7 linked regions of the Oryctolagus cuniculus genome follow. The protein of the gene in region 3 interacts with the protein of the main gene of each other region in a biochemical or structural test. Links are inferred from orthologs where the notes say so. Each region holds a gene or a part of one and is shown on either strand. Other genes may lie near its edges. The genes, in order: TEC, GRB7, KIT, PTPN6, MPDZ, SH2B3 and SRC.

Region 1 (4,078 bases), on a different chromosome or scaffold from region 3:
CCGCTGGCACTGCCGGCATCCCATATAAGTGCCAGTTGGAGTCCCAGCTGTTCCAGCTCTCTGCTATGGTCCGCGAAAGCAGTAGAACATGGCCCAAGTCCTTGGGCCCCTGCGCCTGTGTGGGAGACCCGGAAGAAGCTCCTGGCTCCTGGCTTCAGATTGGCGCATCTGGGGAGTGAACCAGCAGATGGAAGACACCTCTCCCTCTCTCTCTCTTTCTCTTTCTCTCTCTCACTCACTCTCTCTCTCTCTCTCTCTGCCTCTCCTCCTCTCTCTGTTCTGACTTTCAAGTAAATAAATAAATCTTTAAAAAAAAATGAAGATATTTTTCCCAGACTGAAATGCAAGCTGTTATTTACCTGATCTCTAAGAGGAAAAAATAAACCAATAAAAAGCTAATTTCTAGAAAACATTCTCATATATCTTTTGCAACAAATAAAAATTACAAGCTACATTGAAAAAAATGTTATAGGGATCAGGCTCTTGGCCTAGTGGTTAAGACATCCCCATCTCACAACAGAGTACTGGGTTTTGTTTGTTTGTTTGTTTTTTAATTTGACAGGTAGAGTTATAGACAGGGACAGAGACAGAGAGAAAGGTCTTCCTTCCATTGGTTCACTCCCCAAATGGCCGCTATCGCCAGCACTGCACCGATCCGAAGCAAGGAGCCAGGTGCTTCTTCCTGGTCTCCCACGAGGGTGCAGGGGCCCAAGCACTTGGGCCATCCTCCACTGCCCTCCTGGGCCACAGCAGAGAGCTGGACTGGAAGAGGGGCAGCCGGGACTAGAATCTGGCACCCATATGGGATGCCGGCGCCGCAGGCGGAGGATTAACCAAGTGAGCCACGGCACCAGCCCCAGGTACTGGGTTTCATACCCAGCTCTGGCTCCTAACCTCAACTTCCTGTCAGTGCAGTCCAGGGGAGGCAGTGTTGATGACTCTAGTAATTCAGTTCCTGCCATCCACATGGAAGATCTGCTCTGAGTTGGCCCAGCCCCAGCCAGGGGAGGCATTTAGGAAGTAAACCAACAGATGGGAGCACACCTGCTTGCTCCCTCACTCTCCCTCCCCCTCTCTCCCTCTCCCTCTCCCTCTCTCTCTCTCTCTCTTCCCCCCTCTTCTCTCTCTCCCCCCTCCCCCTCTCCCCCTCTCTCCCTCTCTGCCTCCCATTTTTTTAATGTCATGGTTATAAGCCACAGTCTAACTACTATTTTGATAGTGTCCAGACACATTTTCATATGTCCTACCTATGATGAAGTACATTGACAATGTACTCTTCTGTCCTTCTCTCTACCCATCATTGTAATTGGTCCAGTATTTAAAACAAAATCACTCCAAGTTCACTGATACTCCTCCCATGAAGAGTTAAGGTCTATGTTTCCTCACCTTGAATCTGAGAGGGCTTGTGGCTCCTCTGAAACAGTGCAACAGAACTGATACTATGTGACCTTGGACTCCAGGTCATAGAAAGCCAATTAGCTCTGCCTGGTTCCCATGGGTTAGTCATAACCAGGTTTCTCTGGTTATTTGGATGGTTCCTCTTGGAAGCCAGGCATCATAAAGAAGCCCCTGCCGAATAGATAACCCAAATGGAGGTATCCAGTGGCAAATGCCAGCTGAGCCCAGCCTTTAAATCACGCCAGCACAGAAGGCAGACATCCAGGTGAGAACACTTCAGATGGCTCCAGCCCCCAGTCCTTTAAGTCATTCCCAGCCACGGAAGTTTTCTGAAGTAGGAGCCTAGACTCTGTAGAAGTGAAACAAGACATCTCTACTGTGCACTAATTCTCAACCTACAGAATGTATGAACTGGTTGCTTTTGTGTGCTGAAAATTTGGGGTGTGTTTTACATAGCACTAGAGAAACAACCAAGACATGCTCATACACTAAAGTATTCCTGACTACATCACTCTTACTTCATTCACCTTTAACCCCTGTCAACTTTCTTCCCACCCCAAATATTTCCTCTCTCTCACCCACCCATCCTTTTACCGTGTTCAGTTCATGAGCCAAGCTGCCCATAGGAACAGTTTCCAACATTCATGTATTTACTCATTCTGTCATTTACACATAGCTATCATGTATCAAAAAAAATACATGGGGGGCTGGCACTGTAGCGTAGCGGGTAAAGCCGCCACCTGCAGTGCCGGCATCGCATATGGGCGCCAGTTCATGTCCCGGCTGCTCCACTCCCAATCCAGCTCCCTGCTGTGCCCTGGGAAAGCAGTAGAAGATGGCTCAAGTGCTCGAGGCCCTGCACCCTTGTGGGAGACCTGCAAAAAGCTCCTGACTCCTGGCTTCCGATCAGCTCAGCTCCAGCTATTGCGGCCATGTGGGGAGTGAACCAGAGGACGGATGACCTCTCTCTCTGCCTCTGCCTCTCTGGAGCTCTGCATTTCACAGATAAAATATATCTTTAGAAAGAAAAACACATGAGACATTCAGGTGGTTACAAAGATGAACAAGATAGGATCTTTAGAGAAGCATGGGAGTTACTTAAAAACAAATAGCAGGAGCTGGCATTTAGCACAGCAGTTCAGATACCCACTTCCCACTCTGGAGTGCCTCTCTGAGTCTCAGCTTTGGCTTCTGACTCCAGCTTCCTGACACGGACACTGGAGGCAGTGCTGATGGCTCAGGTAACCGGGTTTCCACCTCCTACGTGGGAGACCTGGACTGAGTTCTCACCTCCTGGCTCTGGCCCCAGCTCAGCCCTGGCCCAGCACCAGACACGGCAGGCATTTGAAGAGTGACAAGAGCTTTCTGTCTCTTTCTCACCCTCTCTCTTCCTCTGTCTCTATGCCTTTCAAAAAAAAAAAGGGGGGGGGGCAACATTACAATCTGTTAAATGTAAAAGTGATATGTGCAGATTATCTTGAAATCATTTCATATCCCCTAAGAATCACTAATATGTGATGACTGAAAAGGAACCAATGGCCCCTTTTCAAAGTATTGTGAACCACTTCAAAGAGGAGACAATATATGAACAGAATTTTGACAGATAGCTAGAAATATGCCAATACATGTATAAAAACAGGTGTTCACACTCTGATCTTAACAATTCCTTACTCATAAAATGCACATGAAATTTTTTAATCTTAATTTTGATCAGAATCACAAATAGAAAATGAAAGTAAAACTGGTATACATTTACTATTTCATATTCAAAAGTGTTATAGTGAGTTCTGAGTCAGTTTGAGAATTAAAACCCCATCATGAGTTTTAATTTTGAGTATTTTAGGAATCCTTTACTTTGTAGGAATGAAGTTAAAATGAAAAGCAATAGCTTTAGTTACAGGAAAATGACAATTACTTATATTCTTCACTTTATAGACTAGATGCATTCTAAGCAAATAGATGAAATTAAGATAAATTTCAGCTAAAACAATTTGTCTATTTGTATTCAATTACAGAATCAAAAACACATTTCCATGAGGGGACAAAACTCCATTCCATACATGAGGTCCAAACCTTTAGAAACAAACAAGAAAATAATGTTGGAACCCTTCAATCCTTCTAGGATTGAAGAATGGTTTCACAGACATTCCAGAATTTTTGAAAGCTTTGAATAGAAGTACAGTACTTTACAGAGCCCTCCGTTTCCCTTCACCATACCTCCCCTGCCCAGAGATCCTCACACTAAACAGTTCTCCGTTGGGGATGATGGCTGAGCATTAAATCTCAAAATCATGTGTGGAAAATTCCATGATCTGAGAAATCATATTCTATAAAATAAGTCACTGTTTAATTTTTTCTATTTTATTGAGAAGTTCTGAAAGCCAACTTTACATAAATAAGTGATACCGACATTTAGATAGCCACCACAGGATAAAGTACTTAATATGTGTGTACGTGGAGTCAACACTGTGGCACAGCAGATTAGGCCACCACCTACGGTGCCGGCATCCCATATGGGCACTGGTTTGAGTCCCGGCTACTCTACTTCTGATCCAGCTCCCTGCTACTGTGCGTGGGAAAGCAGTGGAAGATGGCCCAAGTGCTGGGGCCCCTGCACCTATGTGGGAGACCCGAAAGAAGTTCCTGGCTCCTGGCCCAGCTCCAGCCGTCCCAGCCATTT
Region 2 (4,062 bases), on a different chromosome or scaffold from region 3:
CACACACACACACGCGTACACACACACACACTCAGAGTGGGGCGAGCGCCTGACACTTCAGTGAGGGCAGAAGGGAATTTGGGGGGCAGGTGAGCCAGGGCGGGGCAGGATGGCACTGCCTGGGACTCTCCATGCAACTTGACTCATCTGCACTTCCTGGCTGAGGAGAAACGCAAACAAGGCTGCACCCCTCTCCCCTGTGCTACCGGGGGAGGGTGGGGCGGGACGGAAGAGAAGGAGGATGCCGGCTGGAGCTGCCTCTGACTGATGTCACCCTCTCCTCCCCACCCCTGGCCCACCTCCAGCCCAGGTGGGAGCTGAAGTCTGCCCACCCTCAGCCCCAAGCCACCACCTGGCCCGGGAGGGGGAGAAGAAATGCCAGGCCTGGATTGCGAGGTCATCTGGAATGGAGCTGACTTCCCAGCTGGGGGGCCCCTGCCCAAGAAAGCTGGGCTCCCAGCCCCCGCTGCCCCCTCCCCACACCGTGGGTCTGGCCCTGGTCCTGTTGCTAGGTGTCCCTGGTCCAGAGGACTTGTCCACATCAGCCTGGGGGATGAGGGTCCCCATAACACACCCTCTGGACAGAGGGAGCCCATCAGTCTGCACGTGGAAACCCCAGGAAGGCTGCTCAGAGGAGGTGGCTCCAGCCTTGGGACCTCAGGACAGCAGGAATGGAAAGGCCCAACACCAGAGAGGACAGAGCAAAGGACCCCAGAGAGAGCGGGGCGGGAAGGGCGAGCCACACTCCCCACCCAGCGTCCCCAGACACCAGCGCCCCACTCCCACCCCCCAACCTCGGACAAACCCCAGGAATTCGCTGCAGGAAGACTGGGGGAGGGGCTGCCGGGCTGCGCCTCCCCGCGAAGTCCGAGGGCAGCAGCAGGGATCCCCAAGAGCAGTGTTGGGGGCGGGGGACTGAGGTGGGAGGGGTCCAGGGCCTCCGGCAGACTGGCCGAGGCCGAGGCTGGGGAGGGGCGGGAAGGCAGAGGCCAGCTGGGAGGCCTGCGCTGCCCCCTCCAGCTGCCGCTGGAGAAAGCCCCCAGACCAACTGGTTCCCCAACCCGGCAGCTCCAGGCCACCGCTTCCCGGGCTGCCTCCCTGCCCTAACCGCGCCAGCACCACCCTCCTGCCACCCTCGCCGCCTCCTTGTTTACTTCCTGAATCTTGCCCCACCTGGCTGGCCCCAAGGGCAGGGGGCAGGGCCCGGTGTTTAGGGCGGACAGAAAACAAGGCCACCGTCCGAGCTTCCCAGGGCGGGGGGAGGGGCTGGGGTGTGGCGGGCGGTCCCCGGGGGGGCCCGTGCTCCCCGCCCCACCCCCACCGCTACAGAATGTGGTGGGGGAAGCTTCACCTTCGGGGGAGCTCCTAGGGCCAGAGACCAGGTGAGGTGGGAGACTCCCCGGTGACCTGCAGTTGAGGGGAGGACCCAGGGCCCCTGAGGCCCCGCCCACTCCCTCACTCGGGAAAAACACCTACTGGGGGGGCACTCTTTTAAAGTTTAATTTGGGAAGAATGCTAGAGTCTCCCGGGTGGAGTTAATCATTATTGTGCACTCAAGGAGGTCCCTCCCCACAGAGCAGGATGTCAGCGGGAGACAGGCGGGCAGAACCCCGCCAGGCCCAGCCAGGGCCGTCCTGGGGGCCCAGGGTGCAGCCGGGCAGACAGGTGCATGCTCTGTCCCCACTCTACCAGGGAGACCGGGCTCCGAGGCTGGGTCTCTCCCCAGACTCATCAGACAAGACCACCTGCCCTTCCCTCCTCGCCCAGACCCCTCGGCACCCAACCGGACAGCCCGAGGGCACCATGGGCCTGCCTGCCCCCCACCTGCCCCCCACCTGCCCAGGCAAAGGCAGTGCGCTGTGTCCCAAGCAGGGACTGCAACATGGAGAAGGAGCCCCAGTGACCAGAGTCCCTCTCCTGCACCGCCCTCCATGGTGGGGGCACCCCTAGTCCGACTGGCTGAATAGATACGTGGGGAGGGGACCCAGATGGGGCAGAATCGGGCTGAGCAAGGGCGTGAAGGCAGCTCCCTCGGGATTCAGACCCCCCCCCATTCTAGCTCTTTCTCTGTGTATGGGGAGGGGCCGGTTTCAGCGGGAAAGCTGGAGGAGAAAAATCCCAGACCTCCTATCCCCACAAACAGGTCTGTGCATGTATGGGGGAGGGGGCGTGCGGAGAGAGGAGGAGGAAGAGGACAGGAACCAGAAATGGGGCAAGGATGGGAAACCGAAGGAAAAGAGAAAGTGTGAGGTGGTCTGAGTGGCACAGCAGGGGACCGAATCTTCTAGAATTACCCCAGACCTGCCCGTGCAGCCCACCTCTGGATGAAGCACCTGCTTTGGTCCTTAACTGTACCCAGGGCACTGGTACACCTGGCTGGGGCCACTGGTTGGGGGAGAGAGATGCCAGGCCCTTAACTACCTGTCCCCACCCCCCACCCAGCGCCCCCCCACAAACACACACACCCTGCTCCTGGCCTGACATCACCGAGCAGACAAGGAGGGCAGTTGGCCAGCTCGGACAAGATGGGCACAGCCTGGGCCCTGGTGCGGCTGAGGGTAGAAGCGAGTGGTCGTCTGAGACCCGATCGTGGTCCCTTTACCTGGAGGAGCCCCCGCAGGGGTGGCAGGACACTGCGTGCAAAGTCTGGCTCAGCCTCGGGCCCCTGGATTTCAAATTCACTCCCGATTCCCTGCGGGTGGCAGGAAGATGTCCCGACTTTGGCCGTAGAAGTCGGGGGAGAAGGAGGTAGCCCTGTGTGTCCAGATTCCAGGCCCAAGGAAACTAAAATTATCTTGGGCAGGTGGGGGCGGGGCCTGGGGGAGGCGCTTGGGAGAAGGAAGCACAGGGAGGGGGCGGAGACTCCTGGGCTCTCTGAGGGCTGGGCTGGGATTGTTTTCGCCCTTTCCTAGCCCAGCGACAGGTGCCTGGGGAGAGGCAGGGAAACCTGGCAAACAGAGCAGCCTGGAAAGCCGAGATCAAGAGTCCCGACCACTTGGGAGGGAAGGTTTGGGGGCTGGCAGAGAAAGGTGAATCTGGGCCCAATCTGCCCCCGTAGGCCGAGCAGGGAGCCCGTCCCCAGCTCTGAACCAACCCTCTGGAACAAAGGGCACCCTGAGAAGGAGGGAGGCAGCCAGGGGAGTGTCCAGCAGCCTATCCTGGCCTCTGACCTCCGGCCACGGTCTGGCCACCTAGGCTGTGCCCTGGCTCCTCAGAGGCGCTCAGACTCTGCTCTCCCTCCCGAGCAAAATCCAGGGTCTCATCTCAGCTGCCGCCTTTTGAATCGAAGGGGCCAGGCAGGGTTGCACCGTGGGAGCAGCCACCACCATCTAGGAATTCTGGCTCGCCCAAGGCACTGCTCTGAGGGCCAGGGCTTTAGACTTCTCCCTCGGCACTCGGCAAACAAGGGTAGCAGGAGGGGGGCGAGAGGCAGAGATCAAAGGCGGCAGCCACCTCCCAGCTTGATGAGGGTGACAGTTGGAAAAACAAACAATCCTAGGGGTGATAAGAGACCTGCCCTGGGGGAGCACGGAGGGGTGGCTGTGGCTTCAACTTTCTCCCAACTTTGGTTTTCCTTGAAAAACCAGTGGAGGGGAGGGGTTGGAGGAGCCAAGAGGTGGGGGAGGGGCAAAGGTCACCTGGTGCGGGAAGGCACCGCAGCCAATTCAACTGTTGAGCCCCAGGTGTCAGCCCTCTGCTTGGTGCTGGGGATGCTGTGGGGAACAGCACAAACAGGCCCCGCCCTTGTCCTCATGCTGCCCACTCAGGGAGACCACCCTTATCAAAGAACCATACACATAAGATAGGACCAGCTCAGCAGGTGAAGCCTGCAATGCCAACATCCCATAGGAGCAATGGTTCAAGTCCCAGGGGCTCCATTTCCAATCCAGCTCCCGGTTGATGGGCCTGGAGAAGCAGCAGAAGATGCCCCATGTGCTTGGGTCCCTGCCATCTACACGGGTGACGTGGATGGAGTTCCAGGCTCCTGGTTTGACCTGACCCAGCCACAGCCATTGCAGCCATTTGGGGAGTGAACCAGTGGATGGAAAGCCACTCCTTCTC
Region 3 (4,099 bases):
AAAAAAAAAAGAAAGAAAAAAAAAAAAAAAACCTACTGAACAGCTGGTGTTGAATCACATGGCCTCTGAGATACAGAGACCTGGATTATCCCAGCCACCAAAACACTGCAGGATGCCACATGATGACAAGTTCACGGTCAGCTTGCACGTTCCTCCCCAGGCCTCGCGCGGTCCCAGGATGCATTGCAGTCAACCAGCGGGAGAGAGTGCAATAGCCAATCAAAACGAACAACTCAGCTTTGCCAACAGTGTGGTGGGAGCTGTCCAGGGGGTCTCTGGGAAGCAGCACTTGATGCAGGCACAGCCGGTAATGACCGTGCCCAGCACGGATGCCGGTCCATGGCAGACGCACCTGCCTCGGCTAGAGGTGGCCGTGGTCCAGGGGTGCGGGGCTGGGCCTCTCCAACAGAGGCTCCACCAGCACCGGTGCTCCCGCGAGGCTGGGGAACAGCCCACGGGGAGGGGCCAGCGCCCGCGGGCCGACCCTCAGGGAGAGGAAGGAGGGAAGGGGGCCCACCTGCTCTCACTTTCAGGATGAATTTTTCCGACTGCACGGTTGTGCCCTCGCGGTCGGCGGCGCAGCGCAGGCACAGCCGGTGGTAGGCGCGCCTCACGTTCTTGATGGTGATGCCGGCCTTGGGGTCCGGGACGAAGGTCAAGTCCTTGGGGAGAGGCTTCCCCTCGCACTCCTTGAGGGTGTAGTTGGTCACGTCCGGGTCGGTCAGCGGACAGCGGACCAGCGTGTCACTGTCTTCTCGGCCGTACAGGGGCAGGCCCACGAGGAACAGCTGCCGCGGATCTACAAACACATTGGGCGTCAGTGGCTTGCGCGGCTGTGCTGACACGGCAGGCAGCGTGACAGCCAGAACTGGAGCACATGCAAACGGGACTGGCGAGAAAGAGTTAACACGCCTAAGACACTTTCCACGAGCCGGGCACTAAGCCTGAGCCACCACCCATTTTTTTATCTTATTTAATCTTCCATAGGCCCCTGTGTGATGGGTGCTGCCGGCCGAGAATCTCCGACGGAAACACTTGGGACCAGAAGTGTTTCATAGTTCAGAGACGTTAGCATTTTGGGATATTTGCATAAACTTTCCTGGCTGAGCAAGCCTAATCCAAAAATCTGAAAGCTACAGGGCCGGCGTTACAGTACAAGGGTTAAGCCAAGCCGCTGCCTGGGACGCCGGCATCCCATAAGAGCAGCAGGTAGAGTCTGATCCAGCTCCCGGCTAATCCCGTGCCCCAGGTGGGAGACCCAGTGCAAGCTCCTGGCTTTGGACCGGCATAGCCCCAGCTGTTGGGGCCGTGTGGGAAGTGACCCAGCGAATGGTGTGTGTGTGCGTGTGTGTGCATGTGTGTCTCTGCCTCTTTCACTATAACCCTGACTTTCAAATACATTAATTAACCTTATAAAAATAAAAGACCCCCAGAGCATCTGAAGATAGCAAAGCTGTTTCTCCATAAGAGGTGACAGCACAGGAGTGGCTGCAGAGGGGTAACAACCAGGGTGACAGTGACAGCTGCTGTCGGGGAGGAGCCCCGGAACCCAGTGCAGGCAGCGCGCGAGCCCCTCTCTGCACGTCCTCCTGGGCCCCGTGTGGGCAGGGCTTCCGCAAACCCCGTCGCTGCAGACCAAGGGGAGGGGGCTCATCGGTGTCAGGAATGAACGCAGGACAAACGCTTTCTCGTCCGAGCCGGGACTCCCGTGAGAGCTCGGGGAGGCCCCGGCTCAGTGGCACAGCACAGCCCGAGCAGAGCTAAACAGTATCTCGTCGGCGCCCGTCTCTGGCCCACTGCCCACTCAGGCAGGACAGGACTCCTGGATGTCACGGCCAGTTTGCAGGTCACAGGGCGTGCACGCATCTGTCACTCGGTGAGGACGACGGAGCAGTGAGCTCACCCGGGCACTGCAGGGGGCGGCTCAGGGCTCCCACCGAGGACAGTCACCCCCATCACTTGTGCAGGACCCCCTGGCTAAGGCCTCTCGCCTCGGGTCTGTTTCAGTGTCAGCTGCGATCCACACCCACTCAGGACGAGAAGTCGTCTCCCAAGCCGTCAGCTACCAGAAGACACACCCCTTCTGGCAAACCTGGTCTCTACAAAGATTTGCAAAGAGCAAACACGGGCGGGCGAATTAGCCACAGGAAGCGAGGCACAGACATCCACCTGCCCTGTGTCTTTCTCTTTTGTTGCCAAGAGGTCACGATTTTTTAAGTGAATCAACTTTACGGGGCCAAGGGACTGAGCAGATTAGCAGGAAGAGGCTCACAGCCCCCGTGGCCCCCAGCCCCAGAGCCAGTGCCAGCCAAAGACGGGACAGAGAGAGGCCTCTGTCTCGGGCATCTCGACCCAGCGAGCGGGCGACACTCCATCGCTCCGGCATCTGCGTGTCAAGATCAAGGGCAGCGTCACGGAAAGCCGGGCACTCACCTCTCACGAACACGTAGATGGAGCTGCTCAGGCCGCCCGCGTTGGTGCAGGTGTACCTGCCCGTGTTGGCGGCCTCCGCCTCCTCGCGCGTCCATTGGCTGTGCTCGCTGTCACTCAGCTGACCCAGGCTCTCGAAAGTCCACCTGACGGAGCCCGGGTCGATGCACTCCAGCGAGAACCTGCTGCCGGCATCCACGGTCAGCTCCGGCTGTGCTGGCTGGATGACGGGGGGAGCCGGCTGCCCTGGGCTCGCAGATGGCTGCGAAGAGCCTGCCAAGAAAAACCAAGATCTCGTTGAGTGCGAGCTGCTTCTTTGGCGGAAAAAAAGCATTTCTTCCAACGCGAGCCCCATCTTCTGTGTGCGCTACAATAAAAATAGGACAAGGCTGTCCTGCTATTTAGGGCTGGAAAGAGAGCTCCGTCCAAAGTTTGCTAAGATCATCTCGAAAATCGGGCTATTTTCGGCAACTCGCAATTCTGCTGGGAGTCACACTTGGGGTCCAGGGAAGGGCTAGCTGGATGCCACGGCTCCCCTCGGGTTAAACGCACGGCCGGGCGGCTGCCCTTGGGAATACCGGCTGTTGCCATGGCCCTGACACGCCGCCATCCAGCTCAGGAAGCACGAAAACAAAAATCTCACACCACGAGGGAGAAGAAACAGCTAAGCCACTGGCCCGCCCCTCTCGGCGGGGTGCCCGTGATCACGACACTCTTGGTTTTTTTCTGAAGGCTCTGTGCATCCAGTTGCTTCCACGGAGCTCTCCTTACACGGTAGTGCTTGCTCATTGACACAACTAGCCACGAACCTACACGGTAAGGCAGAAACGCAACCCTGTTTCAAAGAGGAGACCGTGAGATGCTCTGTGGCACGAGTCATGAGATGCAAGCTTCAGACAGCGACCGCGAAACCTGGACCTCAGAAAACTCACACCAGCAGATTTGCGCATCCTCCAATCCGTCTGTGAATTACAACCCGCAGGAGTTGTCACTGTGACCTCACCACGGGGAGAAAACCAGAGGCTGACGCGCAGCCAACCCGCGCAGGAGAGGAGCCCTCCACGGAGCTGGGGAGAAGGGGCAGGGGGCGGCCAGGAGCAGTGGGACGACGGCACAAGGGCGAGGCACACTGGGCCTTGCTGAGCTGGGGCAGGGGCAGGGGCAGGGGCAGGAGCCGAAGGGACGCCCCAGCAGCGGGCTGCTTCCAGCGGGAAACCCCGGTCCTGGCGCAGGACGGTGGTGGCATCGTGCAGGAGCCCAAGGTCGGGCAAGACCACAGCAGGTGCACTGGGGCTGCCCGGGAGTCCATGGGTGCCATTTCAGTCCAGTGGGAATCTGTCCACGCCAAGGTTAAACGGTCAGGCCCCAAGCATAGACTTCTAGGGCCGTGGAAAACCAGAAAACAAACATGTAGTGCGTGGGAGACCTGTCCGCGCGCACACAGAAGGAAGCCCCCGCCAACCGACGGGGCCGGAGCCAAAAGTGTCTTCCCACTTCCTGTTTGCCGCCCGGATAAACACTTCCCCGGAGGCACCAACGGCACAGCTCGGATCAAAAGGCGCCAGCAGCCCTGATGTGCAGGAGATAAGAGCCAGGCCAATTATAACCATTACAGCGTAGTGCGCACCGAGCGCAGAGGGGTCCGGTGGAGGGGACTCCCTGCACCCCA
Region 4 (3,500 bases), on a different chromosome or scaffold from region 3:
TGGCTTGACACCCTTCAGAGAGCTTCCTCTTCCTCCATGGGTCAGGTTCCCACCAGGTGATGTAAGCCCTGAAGGAGACCATGGCAGGGGGCTGGTAGTTAGGGGCTAGCGGTGTTTGGTGCTGAGCCCGCTCCTAAAACTGTGTGGTCAGGGTCATGCCTGTGTGTGGACGTTTGCCCCAGACCAGGGGTGGAGGATGAGGCGTGGGGAGTGGATCTGTGTGTGTCCTTGTCCTCATCTGCACAGGACAGGCAGGGTTGGGGGAGGGGCAGTCAGGAGCTGCGTTGGTTGCCAGGACTGCAGTGTTTGGTGCCGTGGTCCATGGGGGACACTGTCCTGTGCCAAGTGTGCTTGGCGCTGCGCAGCTGGAGGCCAGGGACCCCCTGGGGTGGAGCCAGCCTTGCACCTGCTCTCCCCCCTGTGGGAGGAGCAAGCTCCTGGGAATTCGTGGTGATAAACAGACCACGAAGATTCTCCAGAACACCTAAGAGGAGAAACCCAAAGAGGAAAACCTTTTTTTTTTTTTTTTTGAAAAAAATAATTCACATTTGATATTTCCAAAAAACGAGAAAGTAGTTGTCTGTAGAAATTAAACTTTTGGGCTTTAATATGTTGTTTTCCTTTTTTTTTTAAAAAAAGATTTATTTTTATATATTTGAAAGGCAAAGTTACAGAGAGGCAGAGGCAGAGAGAGAGAGGTCTTCCACCCACTGATTCACTCCTGAAATGGCCACAATGGCCAGAGTGGTGTCGATCTGAAGCCAAGAGGCAGGAGCTTTCTCCGTCTCCCACGTTTCCCTTATTTTTATATATATATATATTTTTATTTTTGACAGGCAGAGTGGACAGTGACAGAGAGAGAGACAGAGAGAAAGGTCTTCCTTTTGCCATTGGTTCACCCTCCAATGGCCGCCGCAGCCGGCGTGCTGCAGCCGGCGCACCGCACTGATCCGATGGCAGGAACCAGGTGCTTCTCCTGGTCTCCCATGGGGTGCAGGACCCAAGGACTTGGGCCATCCTCCACTGCACTCCCTGGCCACAGCAGAGAGCTGGCCTGGAAGAGGGGCAACCAGGACTAGAACCCGGTGTGCCGGTGCCGCAAGGCGGAGGATTAGCCTATTGAGCCACGGTGCCAGCCTCCCTTATTTTTAAATTGAGGTCTGACTAACACTTAAGGGACCTTGATGCTAAGCATCGTGCAAACACCCAGCTTGCCCATGAATTCCCCAGAAATTGCCGTATTCCCGTCACTTTACAAAAATTTGTTTTTACAATTGACATTGATTGATCTGAGAGGCCGGGATAGACAGGGTTCTCATTTGCTGGTTCACTTCCCAAATACCTGAAATGGCAAAACCAGGAGCCGGGAACTCAATCCAGATCTCCTTCATGGGTGGCAGCACCCACCCACTGCAGCCCTCCTCTGCTGCCTCTGGGGGCCTGCATTAGCAGGATGCTGGAGTCAGGAGTGGAGCTGGGATGCAGGCATCGGACCCACGGGGCATCAGCTTTGATAACGGTAAAGCCATTGCACAGCGTCCAGAAAGGTGCAAGGCAGAGGCCTGTGTCGTCCCCAGCCCTGTGCTCCCCGCCCGGTCTCCCTCTCCGGGGGAGACCCCCACAAGGCCCTTGTGCGTCTTCTGCTGAGCCCTCCTCTCACTCGGGGTTGGCGGGGTTTGTGTTGCCACCTGGAGTTCCGTGCAGGGGTCATCATAATCTTAGTGTTCAGGGTCGCTGGAGGTCAGCCGGCCCCCAGTCCCCAGGAGTTGGGCTCCCAGGCTCTGGGATAGGGTAAAGGCCTGGAGACCAAAAGTAGAAAAGACCCACATTTGACAGGGTCATCGTGTCCATCCCTCTGCCATCGAAGGCCTAGGAAGGGAGGGCGCGCTTCCCCCCTTCAAGCATCTCGGCACCCCACAGCAGCCCCTTGGGTCAAGCAGCTGCGCAGCCTCTGTTCTTTGAAGCCCCAGGGCTGGTGTGCAGTGGTTGCCATTCCTGGTTTGGGACGCAGCCAGTCTGGGTTTCAGTCCCGGCACTGGCACTTGACTAATTGGATGACCTTGGGCCAATCCTTCCACTCCCACAGCCCCGGTTCCCAGTTGGCAAAGTGGGGTCGCAGCAGGCGCCTGTGTCCTAGAGCTGCTGGGAGCGCACGCAAAGCCCAGTGAGGCCCCATGAACGAACAGCGTATTAGCGTGGGCCAGGGAGCGGATGGAGGAAGAGGAGACCATGGCAGGTTCCCAGGCAGGAAGCAGAATTCTTTGCCATGAGGTGTCCCAGGCGTGCGTGGGCCCCCTATTCATGAGCTGTCCCATCTGCCGCAGTGCCATGCCCCTGAGCCTTAGATGGCGGCCGTGTGGGAAGTGGGCCCTGCCCCCATCCCATGTCACCCCGCTCTTCTCTTGCTCTATGCTAAAAGGAGAAGTCAAGTGAGTTCCCCCAAGGGGTCGGCCGCGCCCCTTCCTGTCCCCGCCCTGCTGGCTGCGCCAGGCCAGTGCAGCGGCAGCCCCAGCCCCGGCACCGCACCGTGGGGTGGGTGGTGAGGCGGCCGGGCGCTTGGAGCCCAGTTTGAGCCTTAGCTCCAGAGTGCTCCGCCGGCCTGTGTGAGGCTGCCCTCCTTCCTTCCCTGCTGCCCCTTGCTTTCCGGAAGCCCCCAGGATGGTGAGGTAAGCGCTGGGAGCTGCGGTCAGAGGGTGGGAGATGGGGGTGCTCTGGGGCGGCCGAGGGACCTCTCCTCACCACCCTGCCCGGCCTTCCAGGTGGTTCCACCGGGACCTCAGTGGGCTGGACGCAGAGACCCTGCTCAAGGGCCGAGGCGTCCATGGCAGCTTCCTGGCTCGGCCCAGTCGCAAGAACCAGGGAGACTTCTCCCTGTCTGTCAGGTAGGTGGTCCCAGCGACGCTGCACTGGCCTAGGCCCCTGGAGCCCTCATTCCCTGCTCCCCTGGCCCCGTGCCTCTGCTGTGTCCTTGTCCCACCCCCACCCCGTCCCCCACACCTGCGCAGGCCCCCTCCCCATGGGTTCCCCGGGGGGCCAGACGCCTGGCCTCACGGCTGGTGCCCTGCAGGGTCGGGGACCAGGTGACCCACATTCGGATCCAGAACTCTGGGGATTTCTACGACCTGTATGGAGGGGAGAAGTTCGCCACGCTGACGGAGCTGGTGGAGTACTACACACAGCAGCAGGGCGTGCTGCAGGACCGTGACGGCACCATCATCCACCTCAAGTACCCGCTCAACTGCTCCGACCCCACTAGCGAGAGGTGAGGGCCCTGCAGCCGGCCCCTTTGGCCCGCCCCGGCTCAGGCCTCTGGGCTCCGCTTCTCCCTCTTATGCTGCAGCCTTGCCCTTCACCGGGGTCCTCCTGGTGGCAGGAAGCCGCCCCTCGTGGCGGCCGAGCCCATTGTTAGAAAGCTTCCCTTCTGTGGAACTGAATCTGCCTGCTTATGACCCGGGCCCCTACAGGCGAGCTGTGTGAGCTGGGCTCCGGGCAACCCAGTG
Region 5 (4,010 bases), on a different chromosome or scaffold from region 3:
TATCAATTTTACCAGATTAAATATAATTTCCCAATTATGTTTACATAAATTCTCTCATGCACAACACTAATTTCCAAGAGAAAATTAATACCTTTCTCGTTTAAATGAAGCTGATAACATAGGGAACAATGCAACAATTTTATCAAATGAAATCCTACTTTAAGCCAAATGCCTATGGTTAAAAGTGCATATACCTGGGAACTTCACCCCTGCACATGCACCAGGAAGCAGTCTGGGAAGTTGTCTACTCCTTCCCTTTAAAGTGTAGGATCTCTCTGGCAGAGGTGTGGTTTGCTCTACTTTATTTGGGGGCATTTCCAGCCCAGTGCATCAACTTTGCCTCAAAACATTTTATGAGAATCATAGAGTACTTCATGCATATTATAAATACACAGAATGGAGCCCACCTACAACTCAACTCAAGAGAGTCAAACCTATGTGTCAGATTTGGGAAGTAATCTGGAGAAAATAATCTGCCTCTAGCTCAGGACAGCTATCTCCCAAGCCAGCTTCTAAATCCCTTAATCCCAGCTCTAAACAATGAGTCCTCTTGGGCCTCATTTGTAAACAGCACTTGCTGACTCTAGCAGCTAAAAACTGACAGTTCCTGACCAGGCCTAAACCAAAGCAAAACTACATTTGTAAGACTTCCATGAATCTCTCTGAGCATCTTCAACTTGTAGAGATACTGTGATCTCTGGGAACAGTTCCTAGTCCCAAATAACTACCTGCATTTAAAAGACATCTGAAATGCAAAGATGTCTTGAAGGGTCAGGCGGGGCCTCGTCCATGTTGCACAAATTTGGAGCACTGTGCAACCTCACTAAACATCTCACCCTTCCCATCAGCCTTCAGTGATCAAAGGAAGGAGTGTGGAACAGGAATACAGAAAACCAGAAACAAGAGAAGGGAGATGAAACGAAGGAATACATGTTAAGAGAGATAGTGCACCTATGACCCACCAGTAACATGTTGGGAGTAATCTTTTTATTTTAGCAAAGGAAGAAGAGCAGGGGAGAATTAAGTGGCCTTCAAAATTAGTGTTACCTAAGTTGGCATGCAAGGGCACTGTGGCATCCAACAAGATGCAGAACTTCCAGGTGTGTTAGGTTTTACATTGCAATCGTTCGCCTATGTTCTAGCAGGGGCTAAGGCATATATTACAGAAATTTAGATAATTCGATCCGTGCAAAAGTTCATAGCATTATAACCCAAGCCGGGTTATCAGAGCACAGCCCTCTGGAATGGAATCAGTGTCCTTAGATGAGGTGCTATTTACTCTATAGAAAGACACCTAAAAGAGCATTGTCTATGGAAGCACTAAGGGGTGTGTACGGCAAGAGCTGCCTGCCAGCACAGAATGACAATTTGGTCACTCTGCAATTTCTTCCCCTCTTGGCAGCCAAAAAACCTGGAGCGGTTTTCCTTCCACGTTGGTGAAGCCTCCCTTATCTGATGACACAGATGAAACCCGAGCCTCCAACCACAGCCCCTAGGCACAAAGCTATGCAGCGCCCCTCGCCATGGTCTCCCCCAGCAGAGCCACTTCAGGAGCTCCACACGCCCGGTCCCGCAGCCCCGAGCCCCCCGCCCGGCGGCAGACTCAACCTCCCACCCTCGCGCCGCCGCTCCTCCACCCCCCGCGGTCCCGGCTTCCATTTCCATGTGATCCCTGGGAGGAAGGGCCGGGCCTGTGTTTCCTCTGCAAAGAATGCAAGCAAAAATGTACTCCATCACCACCCCAGACCCAAGCACAGCCCCACAGGATGAGAAGCATCTCCCAGACGCGGCTCCCCTAGGAACGTCCGGCATCTCGCCGCTGCGAAGTCGTAGACAAAGGCGCCCACCGGCGGGAGACGGGATGAAGGGGGAGGCCAGTGCAAAAATGTCCCAGCCAGAGCGGCAGCTGATGAAAGGCCACGGGCGCCACGGGGTGTGGGGGCGGGTCCCAGCTGCGGGCTGGCCTCGGGGGTGGGGAGAAGTCCCCCGGTGCCAAGGCAAGGGACGCCAGGCTGGGGGCTCTACCCACCCGGCACAGCTCCGCCCTGCGTAACGGGGGAGCCGCAGCAGCGGAGAGCAACAGGCTCCCGCACTCCGGAGGGCCCGGTCCGCGCCCCAGGCGCCCAGGCCTCCAGGAGAAGGAAAACAAAAACTTTGAAACCCTTTGCGACTCCGCGAGAGCCAAAGGAGGGGGTGATTGTCGCGGGGAGAGGAGGCGGCGTGCAAGTAGCAGAGGAAACTTCAGACCCCATCCCTAAAAAAAAAAAAAAAAAAAAAAAAAAAAGAGCTAGGGGACAGGGGCGCCCCGGCGTCGGGCCCCGCGGGGTGGGGCGAGCGCACCCGGCCCCGCCGCCCGCTGCCGAGCCCCCGGGCGGCCGCGCACCTTCCCGGCGGGGCTCGCGCAGACGCGGGGGCGCGCTGCGGCCTTCCGGCCGGGTCCTCGGCGCCGCTTACCCGGCTCGCGGCGGACGCGAGAGGGGCGGAGGGCTGGGGAAGCCGGGATCACCGAGCACTCGGGCTGGCTCGCCTCGCCCACGCACGCTCTCTTCTCCTCGTAAGTAACGGCCCGGCGAGGAGCTTCGGGATAAACGCGCGCACACACACACCCCCACACACACACTCACACTCACGCGTGACCGAGAAACTTAATCCCGCGCGGCCGGCCGCCGGCGGCCAGACGCCAGCCTCGCGCTCCGCCGCTTCGCCGCGCCCCCTCCCCCGGCGCGCGCCGCACTTGCGCCGACCGGGGCTGCCGCGGAGGCGGTGGCGGGGCCAGGGCTGCCGGGGCTGCGGTGACGCCGGCGACCGGCGGGGCGGCGGGCGGCCTCAGCCAATCAGGGGGCGCGGCCCAGCCCGCTGGTCCTGGGTTTTAAACTAGCTCCTGGGCGGCCGGAGGATGAGCGCTCTGTGAGGCTGTGGGGCGCCCAGTTAGTGGATAATTAGGATTTTTGTTTTTAATGATTTTTTTTTTTAGTATAAGTATGACCTATGCAATGTTTGGGATATACTTATACTAAAAAAAAGGTACTTGTTCATCTGAAGTTCGATTGTAACTGAGAATCTTGTTTGTGTTTGCTGAATCTGGCAACTTGTGAGAACTAGTAGCCTTTAGGTGTAGTTTTTGACAGCGTTGTTGTTAGATGCACTGCCCTGGAAGTGCCTTCTGCAGGATAGCTGAAGTGGCGCCGCTCTGTAACGAGCACCGGAGGAGTAATCTCACTTTTTTTTTCTTTTCTTTTTTTTTTTCTTTTTTTGACAGGCAGTTAGACAGTGAGAGAGACAGAGAGAAAGGTCTTCCTTCCGTTGGTTCACTCCCCAAGCGCGCTGATCGGAAGCCAGGAACCAGGTGCTTCTCCTGGTCTCCCATGCAGGCGCAGGGCCCAAGCACCTGGGCCATGCTCCACTGCCCTCCTGGGCCACAGCAGAGAGCTGGACTGGAAGAGGAGCAACCAGGACAGAATCCGGCGCCCCAATAAGGACTAGAACCCGGGGTGCTGGCACCACAGGCGGAGGATTAGCCAAGAGTAACTTTAGTGCATCGATGTGTATTCTTAGATTGATGATCCAATAACAGCTCAAAAACGGTGAACACACAGAAGGATTCACAGTCACTGGTGCCAGGAAGAGCAGATAATTCATTTCTATTTTGCGCCTTTTAATATTGTCTTTCAGAAATTCTCAATTTGAGAGCTCTGTAATTTTATGTGTGTGTGCGCGCAAAGGGAAATCGCTTCCTTTTTCATTCCATATGTCTAATGTTAAAGTATACCATCAGAGGATACTCAAAAGTCCAACATAAAATATTTGAAAGAATTTCTTTTAATATTCTCTGTAAGCCATGTAATTTCGTCAGATTATCTTTTGTATGTCTACTAAAAATCAATTTGCATTTCTCTAACATCAAATATTTAAGGGGAAACTAAGTTTGTAAGATATACAAGACTTCAGAGGGAAATGGATTTTTTAAAAGATTTTTTTATTTATTTGAAAGTCAGAGTTACAGAGAGAAG
Region 6 (4,124 bases), on a different chromosome or scaffold from region 3:
CAGTCCTCTGTGGCTCCCTCTGGCTGTCGTTGCTATTGTTATGTTAATAAGCACGGTGGCAGCGTGGATCACCGCGCAGCGCTGTGCTGAACTCGGCCGCCCGTCCGCTCATGGCACTGACCACTGCTGCTTCGGTGGTCCTTACTCCCGCCTTGGGAACGGGGACACTGACTCGCTCGTGGCCACTGGCCCCGGGGCTCCCCGGCCCGCGTAGCGGCCAGGCCCCGGGCGCTGGCCCCTTCAGCTGCACCTGACGCCCCCGCTCCGCCCTCTGCCCGGCGCACCCGCGGCTCCCCGGCGGCGCGGGGCGGGGCGGTTCGCGCGTGGGTGGGAACCCTGCGCCTGTCCGAGGGAAAGCGGCTCCGGCAGGGGCCGGGCCCGAGCCTGATTAAAAGGGGAACAACCGCAAGTCCCCGTTTAAGTCAGCGGAGCTGCCGTCTGGGCGGCGAGAGGGAAAGTGCTTGCGGCTGGCGCGGCGCAGCAGCCATTTGGCACGGGCTGGGGGTGCCCCGGCGGCCGTGCGGCGCGGGGAAGCGGCTGCTCTCCCGGCCTCCGTGCGGCCCAGCCTACCTGCGGCTTGAGGCCGTCAGTGTGGACCCCTCGGCCCCCTCCCCCCTCGCCCCGCGTCTTCAGAGGCCGGAGGTTCCCGCAGGGGTCGCCAGGGTGGGTCCTCCTGCCCGCACCCTCGGAGGGGCGGCTGCGCGCGGCCCAGACTCCTCCCCCCGGGGCCCTTGGGACCCCGCGAGCCGGGCCTGCCTTTCCCGTCTCCCCTCTCACCCCCGCACCTGCTGCTCCCGGATCGCCTGCCCTCCCCTCCCCCGGACGGCCTGGGGCCCTGTCCGGGCAGGTGCCCTGTTCAGCATTGGTTCTGCGGAGATGCCCGAAGGAGCCGGGTGTCCAGGCGGGTGCAGGGCCGAGCACGTGGGCCGTCCCCGCGGCTTCCCCAGGCCACAGCGGGAGCTGCCCCTCCCCCAGCCACTTCCTGGTCTCCGAGCGCCCCGTGTCCCCTCACCGCAAGGCAGGGGTACTGGCTTTGCCCCTGCTGGGCCCCCAGCACCTAGAACAGTGCTCGGCACAAAGTAGGTGTTCAACACGTCCCTGGAACAGCACACTCTCGGGTCTGCAAGGTCACTGGGCTGGAAACCCCCACCACCTGGGGAACCCCTTCCTGCGGGCGGGGGGCGGGACCCCGGGCCGCTCAGTTCCCCGACCGCCCGGGCGCCGGGCGCGCGCTCACCTCGGCCTCGAGGGATGGAGTCGGCTCGTCCGGCCCAGGCCAACGAGCGGTGGGTCGGAGGAGCACCGGGCCCCTCCAAGTGGGGGCGTGGGCGACTGGTTTCCTGTTGGGGGAGGGGAGCGCAGCCATTCCCGGCGCCCCTGTGCTGCGCTACCTCCACGCCGCCCCGGGGAGACCCGCCTGGTCGGCCTGGGCTCCAGGAGGCCCTAGAAGAAATGTGAGTAGCCTGGGGGCGAGCAGAGGCCCCGGGGCAGCAGTCCAGGAAGGCTTCCTGGAGGGGGGGCGCGGCCAGGTAGTGGCGTGGCGCTGGGCTCAGGCGCTCGGGACGCGGCAGAGCGGTGCTGAGGCTGGGGGCGCTGAGGCCGAGGCGGGTCGGCTCTGCGGAGCCGCGGAGAGGCGGGAGCGGGCGGGCTGGGCCCCCTCCCCAGGCGATGATGAAAGTCCAGGTTGATCTTGCGCTGCCGGGCCCGGCAGGCGGCGATAAGGCCCTCAGGGCGGGAGACAGCGGTGGGTGCGCCCCCTGTAGGCCGCACAGCTCGGCGGCCCCTCCCCAGGCCCCGCCTCCCGGCCTGGCCCCGCCCCCGCCACGCCGCGGCGCCCTGTGGCCTGCAGGCGTGGGGTGGGTGGGACCCGGGTTGCCCCGCCCCCCCCGCCGTTCCTTCCCTTCTTTAGGCTGCGCGACGCGAAATTTGGTGGGTGAGTTGTGGGCGTGGCTCGGTGAGACCCCCGCCTCCCGCCGGGCTCGCACCTCCGGATCTCAGGGCCCGGCCCCCGCGGAGGCGCTGGGCAGTGGGCGGGGCCACCTCGGACCCCGCCCCTGGTCCCTCCCCTTCCACAGAGCAGCGGGTTCGCCAGGGCGTGGCTCTCGGCGGCCCCGCCCCTCCAGGCCCGCCCACTCCGGGAGCCGCGGGTTCGCCGGGGCGTGGCTCCCCGTGGCCCCGCCCCGCCGCCCTCCCACGCCGGGCTCGGCTCGCACAGCCGGTTCCTCTTTACATAACGGCGCGGGGCGGCATGGGCCCGGGCCACCGCCTCCGCCCGGCCGCCCGCCCGGACTGTCGCGGCCCGCGGAGGCCACGGCGGCCGCAGCGAAGTTGTCCCGGCGGCGTCCCGGGGGCGCATCCTCTCGCAACTGTCAGGCGCTGGCGGCGGAAATGATGAGGCTCTGGCCATCTTCCGAGCCGGGGTTTCCTGCCTGAGCCCCGCTCGAGCGAGAGGCGAGCGAGGAGCCGACGCGCCCGGGGCGGGGGCCCGCCCGCCCCCTCGAGGTCTCGGGGGGCCGGGGCGCGCGACGCCATGGGCCGGCCGGGCCCGTGCCCCGTCTCTCTCAGGTAAGCCCGCCTGCCCGCCGGGCTTGGGGGCGTCCCGGGGCAGGGGAGGCCCCGGGGCCGGCCCTGCGCGCCCTCAGCCGCCCTGAGCGTGCCCGGCTCGGACTCGGGGGGCGCCGAGGCAGGGAGGGCCCTCCGCGGGTTCCCCACTACCTGCAGCCCAGCCGGCCAGGCACAGCGGTCCCTCGGCGGGAGCCGGGAAGGAGGGGTCGGGGTCGGGGTCGAGGTCGGGGCTGGGGTCGGGGTCGGCGCCGTCTGGGGAGAAAGCGTCAGCCTGAGGCCGTGTGCGCGCGTGCAGGGAGCAGCACCCCCCCGACCCCGGAGCCCAGGCCCTGCCTGGGGGATGCCCCCGCCCCGCTCTGCACTGCCCACGGGTTAGGGTCCTGGAACCGGGGCCCCTTGACCACCCTCGGCCTCCCCCCAAGACTCCCAGGGAATACCCCACCAGGCCGAGGAGGGGGTGTCGGCCTGGGGGGGCACCAGCGGGCGGCTGTGGGCTGCATTTGAGGAACTGGGGAGGGGTCCGCCCGGCCGCCCGCCGCTCGGCTCCCTACAGTTTCCTCATTCTCCTGTTTCTCTTCCCCATTCCCGGGCCACTGCGAGGTAGGTGGGGAGGTCAGTGCCTGCAGCTGGGGCCGCGGAGGGGGGAGGGAGGGCCGGCCCAAGTGGCGCATCCTTGACACCTGGCTGCCTCCCGTTTACAGCCTGGCCTCGGGCTCCTGCCGGGGCGGCGGGCAGGGGGATGTCCCCGGGGGGCGCGGGCCGGGTTAGGTCTGGATTTCCCATCGGTGACCCGGCCGCTGGAGTGGAGCCGGGTCCAGGGCGTCCCGGGGACCTGGAGCCCTGGCCCTGATGGGGGCGAGCCGGCTCAGGGGACCAGAGGCCAAGGCCCCCAGCCCGCAGGGAGGTCGAGCGGTCGGTCATCGGTCTGCTTGCTCGCTGCGTGCCTTTTCCCACAGCCCCCAGTGGGAGGGAGAGTCCTGCTGAGCCGCAGGGTGCGTGCTCCTGGCCGGTCCCCCAGGGCCGCTGGGGAGGGGCTGGCCTGGGCCGGCGGAGGAGGAAGAGAGGCTGGTGGGGCCGGCGCCTGAGTCCTCCGCCCCTGAGCGGGGGCGGGCAGGTGGTCTCCCTCTGTCCAGCGGGCTGACAGGTTTGCGGCCTGAGCAAGGCACCTGCCGCTCAGCTACAGGTGGCCGCGCGCGTCTCGGCCTCACCGGCGATAGCGCTGTTACCGGCTGTGGGCCGTGGGCGCCCTCTGGGAGAGTCCTGAAGCCCCGGGCAGGGTGAGGGGAGGGCGCTCTCTGGCTCTGGCCTCCGTTCCCCGCTAGGAAGTGGGTCTGACGACTGCACCCACCACAGGACCGCCGGCACCCTGGCTGAGCGGATCCGCAGAGCACCCAGGGCGGTGCGGCCTGGGGACAGGAGGGCCTGGGGTTGGCTTTCGCTGCTGCCCAGGTCACCTCTGCTCGGCCTCCTTCTCGGGACTCTGTGGTCCTGCTGGCCACAGGGCTGCCCAGCCTCGCGTCCTCCCGCCCGGCACGAGAGAGACACACTTCCCCGGGGGA
Region 7 (3,500 bases), on a different chromosome or scaffold from region 3:
TTTTCTGGGAGTCTGGGAACGGCCCCCGCGGTTATGCGCCCCTCGCTCCCAGGTTTGCCCTTGGGGACACAGTCCACGCCCGGCCCCTTCTGCAGACAGGTCAGGCCCAGGCAGGAGACCACGTGCTGTGTGTGGCCAGACGGTGGCCCTCCTGGTGCCCAGCCTGGCTGGCAGCCCATGCTACCCTTGCCCAGGAGATGCCTGGCCGGTGTTGGGGGCAGCACTGGGTCCTGGGGGCAGAGGCCTTCTCTGGGGCCTGGCAGGCAGTTCCCGGCCACCGAACTCCCAGGGACGCACTCAGGCAGGTAACACCCGCGGTGCCAACACAGCATGCGGCTACCCCCGGTCGCTCGGTGAGTCAGGACCGAGCCGGGCCTTGAACCGCCTCCTGAGTGTCTTGTGACTTTCTGCAGGTGGCCTGGGCCAAGGGCAGGCAGGAGCAGAGGCCCGAGGCTGCAGCTGGCAGTGACCGCCACAGGTGTGTGCACACGCACATGCACACACACACAGGTGCACACACCTGCTGGCACACCCACACCCAGCAGCCACACACTCCCCAGGCCCCCAAGCGTGAGGACGAACCCACAGTCCCAACCTCCACATGTGCACACACACACACATAGGCACACACCTGCACAGGGGTGCCCACGTGTACAAAGCCGCCTGAGGGCTCAAACGCACACACCTGGCCTGGATGCTCTGCCTCCCTCCTCCCCTCCCAAGGAGGGGCGGGGCCAGGACTGGCCAGGGAAGGCCGAGGCCGGCTCCCAGCACTCACTGCAGCCCCAGAGGCCCCTGGGGAAGGGGAAGAGAGGGCCCCCTGCATCCGCACCCATTCTGGGAACAAACCTGTGCTGTGACACTTGGACCTCATGACAACCTGGGCCCGTCCTCATCTGATGAAACTGAGGCCACGGAAGTCTCGTCTCTCCTCTTGCTGCACCCCGTCTCCCACCGCTGACTTAGACACGCGCCTGCCTGACTTCTGTCCTGCCGTTTCATCCTCTTCCTTCTCTACCCCCAAACTCCTATTCATTCTGCAACACCCAGCCCCAAGAACCCACAAAAGACTCAGCCTCTGCTGGCCAGCAGGAATGCTGCTACCTTTCGTGGTCTCACTCTCGCGCACCAGGAAGGTCCCTCTTGGGTTTTCTGCATTGAGCAGTAACCGCTCCGACTCCCGCCTGGTAATCTTGCCGAAGTACCACCTGGGGAGGGAGGGACGAGCGGTGAGCAGTCCAGTTTCCGCCAGCCCTGGACCCCTCAACCTCGCCCAGCAGTCCAGGAGCAGTGGTGAGCAGACGCCCAGGAAGATACTCACTCCTCGGCCTGGATGGAGTCGGAGGGCGCCACGTAGTTGCTGGGGATGTAGCCGGTCTGTCCCGTGCTGAGCGAGTGGGCCAGCCACCAGTCTCCCTCCCTGCACAGGGGAGAGCACGGAGCCAAGGGAGCCGTCAGCAGCCAGCCCAGGGCCGCTGGCTTCCTGCAGTGAGCGAGGCTGGGACCAGGGGAGCTCTCGCATTGCCCCATGGAGCTGGCCTGCAGCCCCCCTCCCAGGCCAGAAGGCAGCCAGGGTCTCCGTGCACGGAGCAGAGGCCAGGCCTTTCAGAAGGGCGCTCCTGGTCCTCGGGGGCAGGCAACACTGGAATGGGAGAGAAGACTCCCGCCCAAGAGGAACGTCAGGTTCCACCCTCCGAGTCTCCCCCAGCCCTGAGGTTCAGAAGCCAGACGCCAGGAGCTGGGGAGACCTGGGTGGAGGCCAAGGGGCACCCTTAGGGGCAACCCAGGCCCCAGCCTGCAGAGCAGAGCAGTGCTTGCCTGTCACAAACCATGGCTCACGCCTACAGGGTCCTCAGCCGCAAACTACAGGCCCCTCCTGCAGCCTACCCATCTGCCACGGGAAACTGAGGCCAGAGGGGGCAGCGACTTGCCCAAAGTCACACAGCGATCTCGTCAGAGGGGTCGAGGTGGCGCAGCCCACTGCCCAGGCCCCTTCTGTACTAACTGCCCCAGGAGGAGGAGGAAGAGGAGGAGAGGAGGAGAGGAGGAGAGGAGGAGAGGAGGACGGGGACAGGGGCAGGAGGAGCCCTGGGACCTGGGGAGGGGGTAGGGGCGGAAGTACCTTTGCAGCCATCTGAATGTGAACCAGGTCTGGCTGGAGCGGGGGTCCAGAGACACAGAGGAGGGAGGAGAAAGCGAGAGCCCGACGGGAGAGAAGAGGCAGAGATGGGGGTGGTGAGCGGCAACGAGTGGCAGAGAGAGCGAGGGAGGGGGCAGAAGAGCCAGGCGGGGCTGGGGACAGAGACGGGGCAGCCACAGAGGCCTCGCATCCAAAGCAACCCACAGGGCGGGGCTGGGAGGTCGATGGGCAGGGCAGCCCGGGGACTAGGGTTCAGCCCCCATCCTATTCCCACTGTACAGATGGGAAGACTGAGGCCAGGGAAGCAAAGCACTCTGCTCAAGGTCACACAGCCAGCCCCAAAGGAGGAGGACCCCTCCCTACTGGGTGAGGAAGGACCTGACAGTCTGCTGAGCTCTCGTCAGTACAAGGCTGTCTTGGACGTCACCTTGGCCCTGAATGACGCCGGCAGGATGCGCCCACCGCCACCGCCACACAGAAATACAGAGGCCCCTCGCCTGCAGTCACACGGTCTCCACTCGAACCAGGACCCTTACTCCCAGCTTCTCTGAGCTGCCCCTGGCCATACTCTTCGGCCCGTGTTAAAGATGCAGAAGTTGCGGCCAATGCAGTGGGGGAGGGATAGGGCATTTGATGCACTAGTAAAGATACCACTTTGGGATGTCCACATCTCGTATCAAAGTGCCCAGGTTCAAGTCCCAGCTCCACTTCCGAGTCCTGCTTCCTGATAATGCACCATTGTGGGTGGCAGCAGCTGATGGCTCAGGTGGCCGGGCCCCTGCTACCCACAGGCGAGACCCAGATGGAGCTCCCAGCTCCCCGCTACCCACAGGCGAGACCCGGATGGAGCTCCCGGCCCCCCGCTACCCACAGGCGAGACCCGGATGGAGCTCCCGGCCCCCCGCTACCCACGGGCGAGACCCGGATGGAGCTCCCGGCCCCCCGCTACCCACGGGCGAGACCCGGATGGAGCTCCCGGCCCCCCCGCTACCCACAGGCGAGACCCGGATGGAGCTCCCGGCCCCCCGCTACCCACAGGCGAGACCCGGATGGAGCTCCCGGCACCCCCGCTACCCACAGGCGAGACCCGGATGGAGCTCCCGGCCCCCCGCTACCCACAGGCGAGACCCGGATGGAGCTCCCAGCCCCTGGCTTCGGCTCAGCCCAGTTCTAGCTGTTGTGGGCATTTGGGGAGTGAACTAGCAGATGGAGGATTTCTGTCTCTACCTTTCAAACAAATAAAAATGATAAAATTTTTTAGAAAGACAGTACCAGGCTGGAGGACTCTCTGAGGACTCATGAAGGGGCAGTGAGCACCCCAGGCCCCGGGAAGCCCCGTGTGTGGAGCAGGGTGTAGGGG

The links.
Region 1: the proteins of KIT (region 3) and TEC form a complex in vitro, tested with the Homo sapiens proteins (2 studies listed by BioGRID and IntAct, with this or other methods). The link is inferred for Oryctolagus cuniculus from reciprocal best matches to the Homo sapiens genes KIT and TEC.
Region 2: the proteins of KIT (region 3) and GRB7 form a complex in vitro, tested with the Homo sapiens proteins (3 studies listed by BioGRID and IntAct, with this or other methods). The link is inferred for Oryctolagus cuniculus from reciprocal best matches to the Homo sapiens genes KIT and GRB7.
Region 4: the proteins of KIT (region 3) and PTPN6 form a complex in vitro, tested with the Homo sapiens proteins (2 studies listed by BioGRID). The link is inferred for Oryctolagus cuniculus from reciprocal best matches to the Homo sapiens genes KIT and PTPN6.
Region 5: the proteins of KIT (region 3) and MPDZ form a complex in vitro, tested with the Homo sapiens proteins (2 studies listed by BioGRID and IntAct, with this or other methods). The link is inferred for Oryctolagus cuniculus from reciprocal best matches to the Homo sapiens genes KIT and MPDZ.
Region 6: the proteins of KIT (region 3) and SH2B3 form a complex in vitro, tested with the Homo sapiens proteins (2 studies listed by BioGRID and IntAct, with this or other methods). The link is inferred for Oryctolagus cuniculus from reciprocal best matches to the Homo sapiens genes KIT and SH2B3.
Region 7: the proteins of KIT (region 3) and SRC form a complex in vitro, tested with the Homo sapiens proteins (3 studies listed by BioGRID and IntAct, with this or other methods). The link is inferred for Oryctolagus cuniculus from reciprocal best matches to the Homo sapiens genes KIT and SRC.

What each region holds. Positions count from the first base shown.
Region 1 is NC_091433.1:41,420,261-41,424,338, forward strand, and holds the start of TEC (tyrosine-protein kinase Tec), read right to left. Parts: upstream 2,801-4,078; 5' UTR 2,743-2,800; coding exon 2,689-2,742; intron 1-2,688.
Region 2 is NC_091448.1:22,659,110-22,663,171, forward strand, and holds the start of GRB7 (growth factor receptor-bound protein 7), read right to left. Parts: upstream 2,801-4,062; 5' UTR 2,603-2,800; intron 1,278-2,602; exon of another isoform or gene 1,174-1,277; intron 1-1,173. UniProt on the Homo sapiens protein: Adapter protein that interacts with the cytoplasmic domain of numerous receptor kinases and modulates down-stream signaling. Promotes activation of down-stream protein kinases, including STAT3, AKT1, MAPK1 and/or MAPK3. Promotes activation of HRAS.
Region 3 is NC_091439.1:109,621,477-109,625,575, forward strand, and holds the start of KIT (mast/stem cell growth factor receptor Kit), read right to left. Parts: upstream 2,801-4,099; 5' UTR 2,786-2,800; coding exon 2,434-2,785; intron 800-2,433; coding exon 518-799; intron 1-517. UniProt on the Homo sapiens protein: Tyrosine-protein kinase that acts as a cell-surface receptor for the cytokine KITLG/SCF and plays an essential role in the regulation of cell survival and proliferation, hematopoiesis, stem cell maintenance, gametogenesis, mast cell development, migration and function, and in melanogenesis.
Region 4 is NC_091440.1:102,590,789-102,594,288, reverse strand, and holds part of PTPN6 (tyrosine-protein phosphatase non-receptor type 6), read left to right. Parts: intron 1-2,488; exon of another isoform or gene 2,489-2,658; coding exon of another isoform or gene 2,659-2,666; intron 2,667-2,759; coding exon 2,760-2,882; intron 2,883-3,067; coding exon 3,068-3,262; intron 3,263-3,500. UniProt on the Homo sapiens protein: Tyrosine phosphatase enzyme that plays important roles in controlling immune signaling pathways and fundamental physiological processes such as hematopoiesis.
Region 5 is NC_091432.1:176,108,203-176,112,212, forward strand, and holds the start of MPDZ (multiple PDZ domain protein), read right to left. Parts: upstream 2,801-4,010; 5' UTR 2,631-2,800; exon of another isoform or gene 2,455-2,630; intron 1-2,454. UniProt on the Homo sapiens protein: Member of the NMDAR signaling complex that may play a role in control of AMPAR potentiation and synaptic plasticity in excitatory synapses. Promotes clustering of HT2RC at the cell surface.
Region 6 is NC_091452.1:8,856,855-8,860,978, forward strand, and holds the start of SH2B3 (SH2B adapter protein 3), read left to right. Parts: upstream 1-1,324; 5' UTR 1,325-1,454; intron 1,455-2,424; exon of another isoform or gene 2,425-2,565; intron 2,566-4,124. UniProt on the Homo sapiens protein: Links T-cell receptor activation signal to phospholipase C-gamma-1, GRB2 and phosphatidylinositol 3-kinase.
Region 7 is NC_091442.1:21,177,336-21,180,835, forward strand, and holds part of SRC (proto-oncogene tyrosine-protein kinase Src), read right to left. Parts: intron 2,156-3,500; coding exon 2,123-2,155; intron 1,421-2,122; coding exon 1,322-1,420; intron 1,209-1,321; coding exon 1,105-1,208; intron 1-1,104. UniProt on the Homo sapiens protein: Non-receptor protein tyrosine kinase which is activated following engagement of many different classes of cellular receptors including immune response receptors, integrins and other adhesion receptors, receptor protein tyrosine kinases, G protein-coupled receptors as well as cytokine receptors.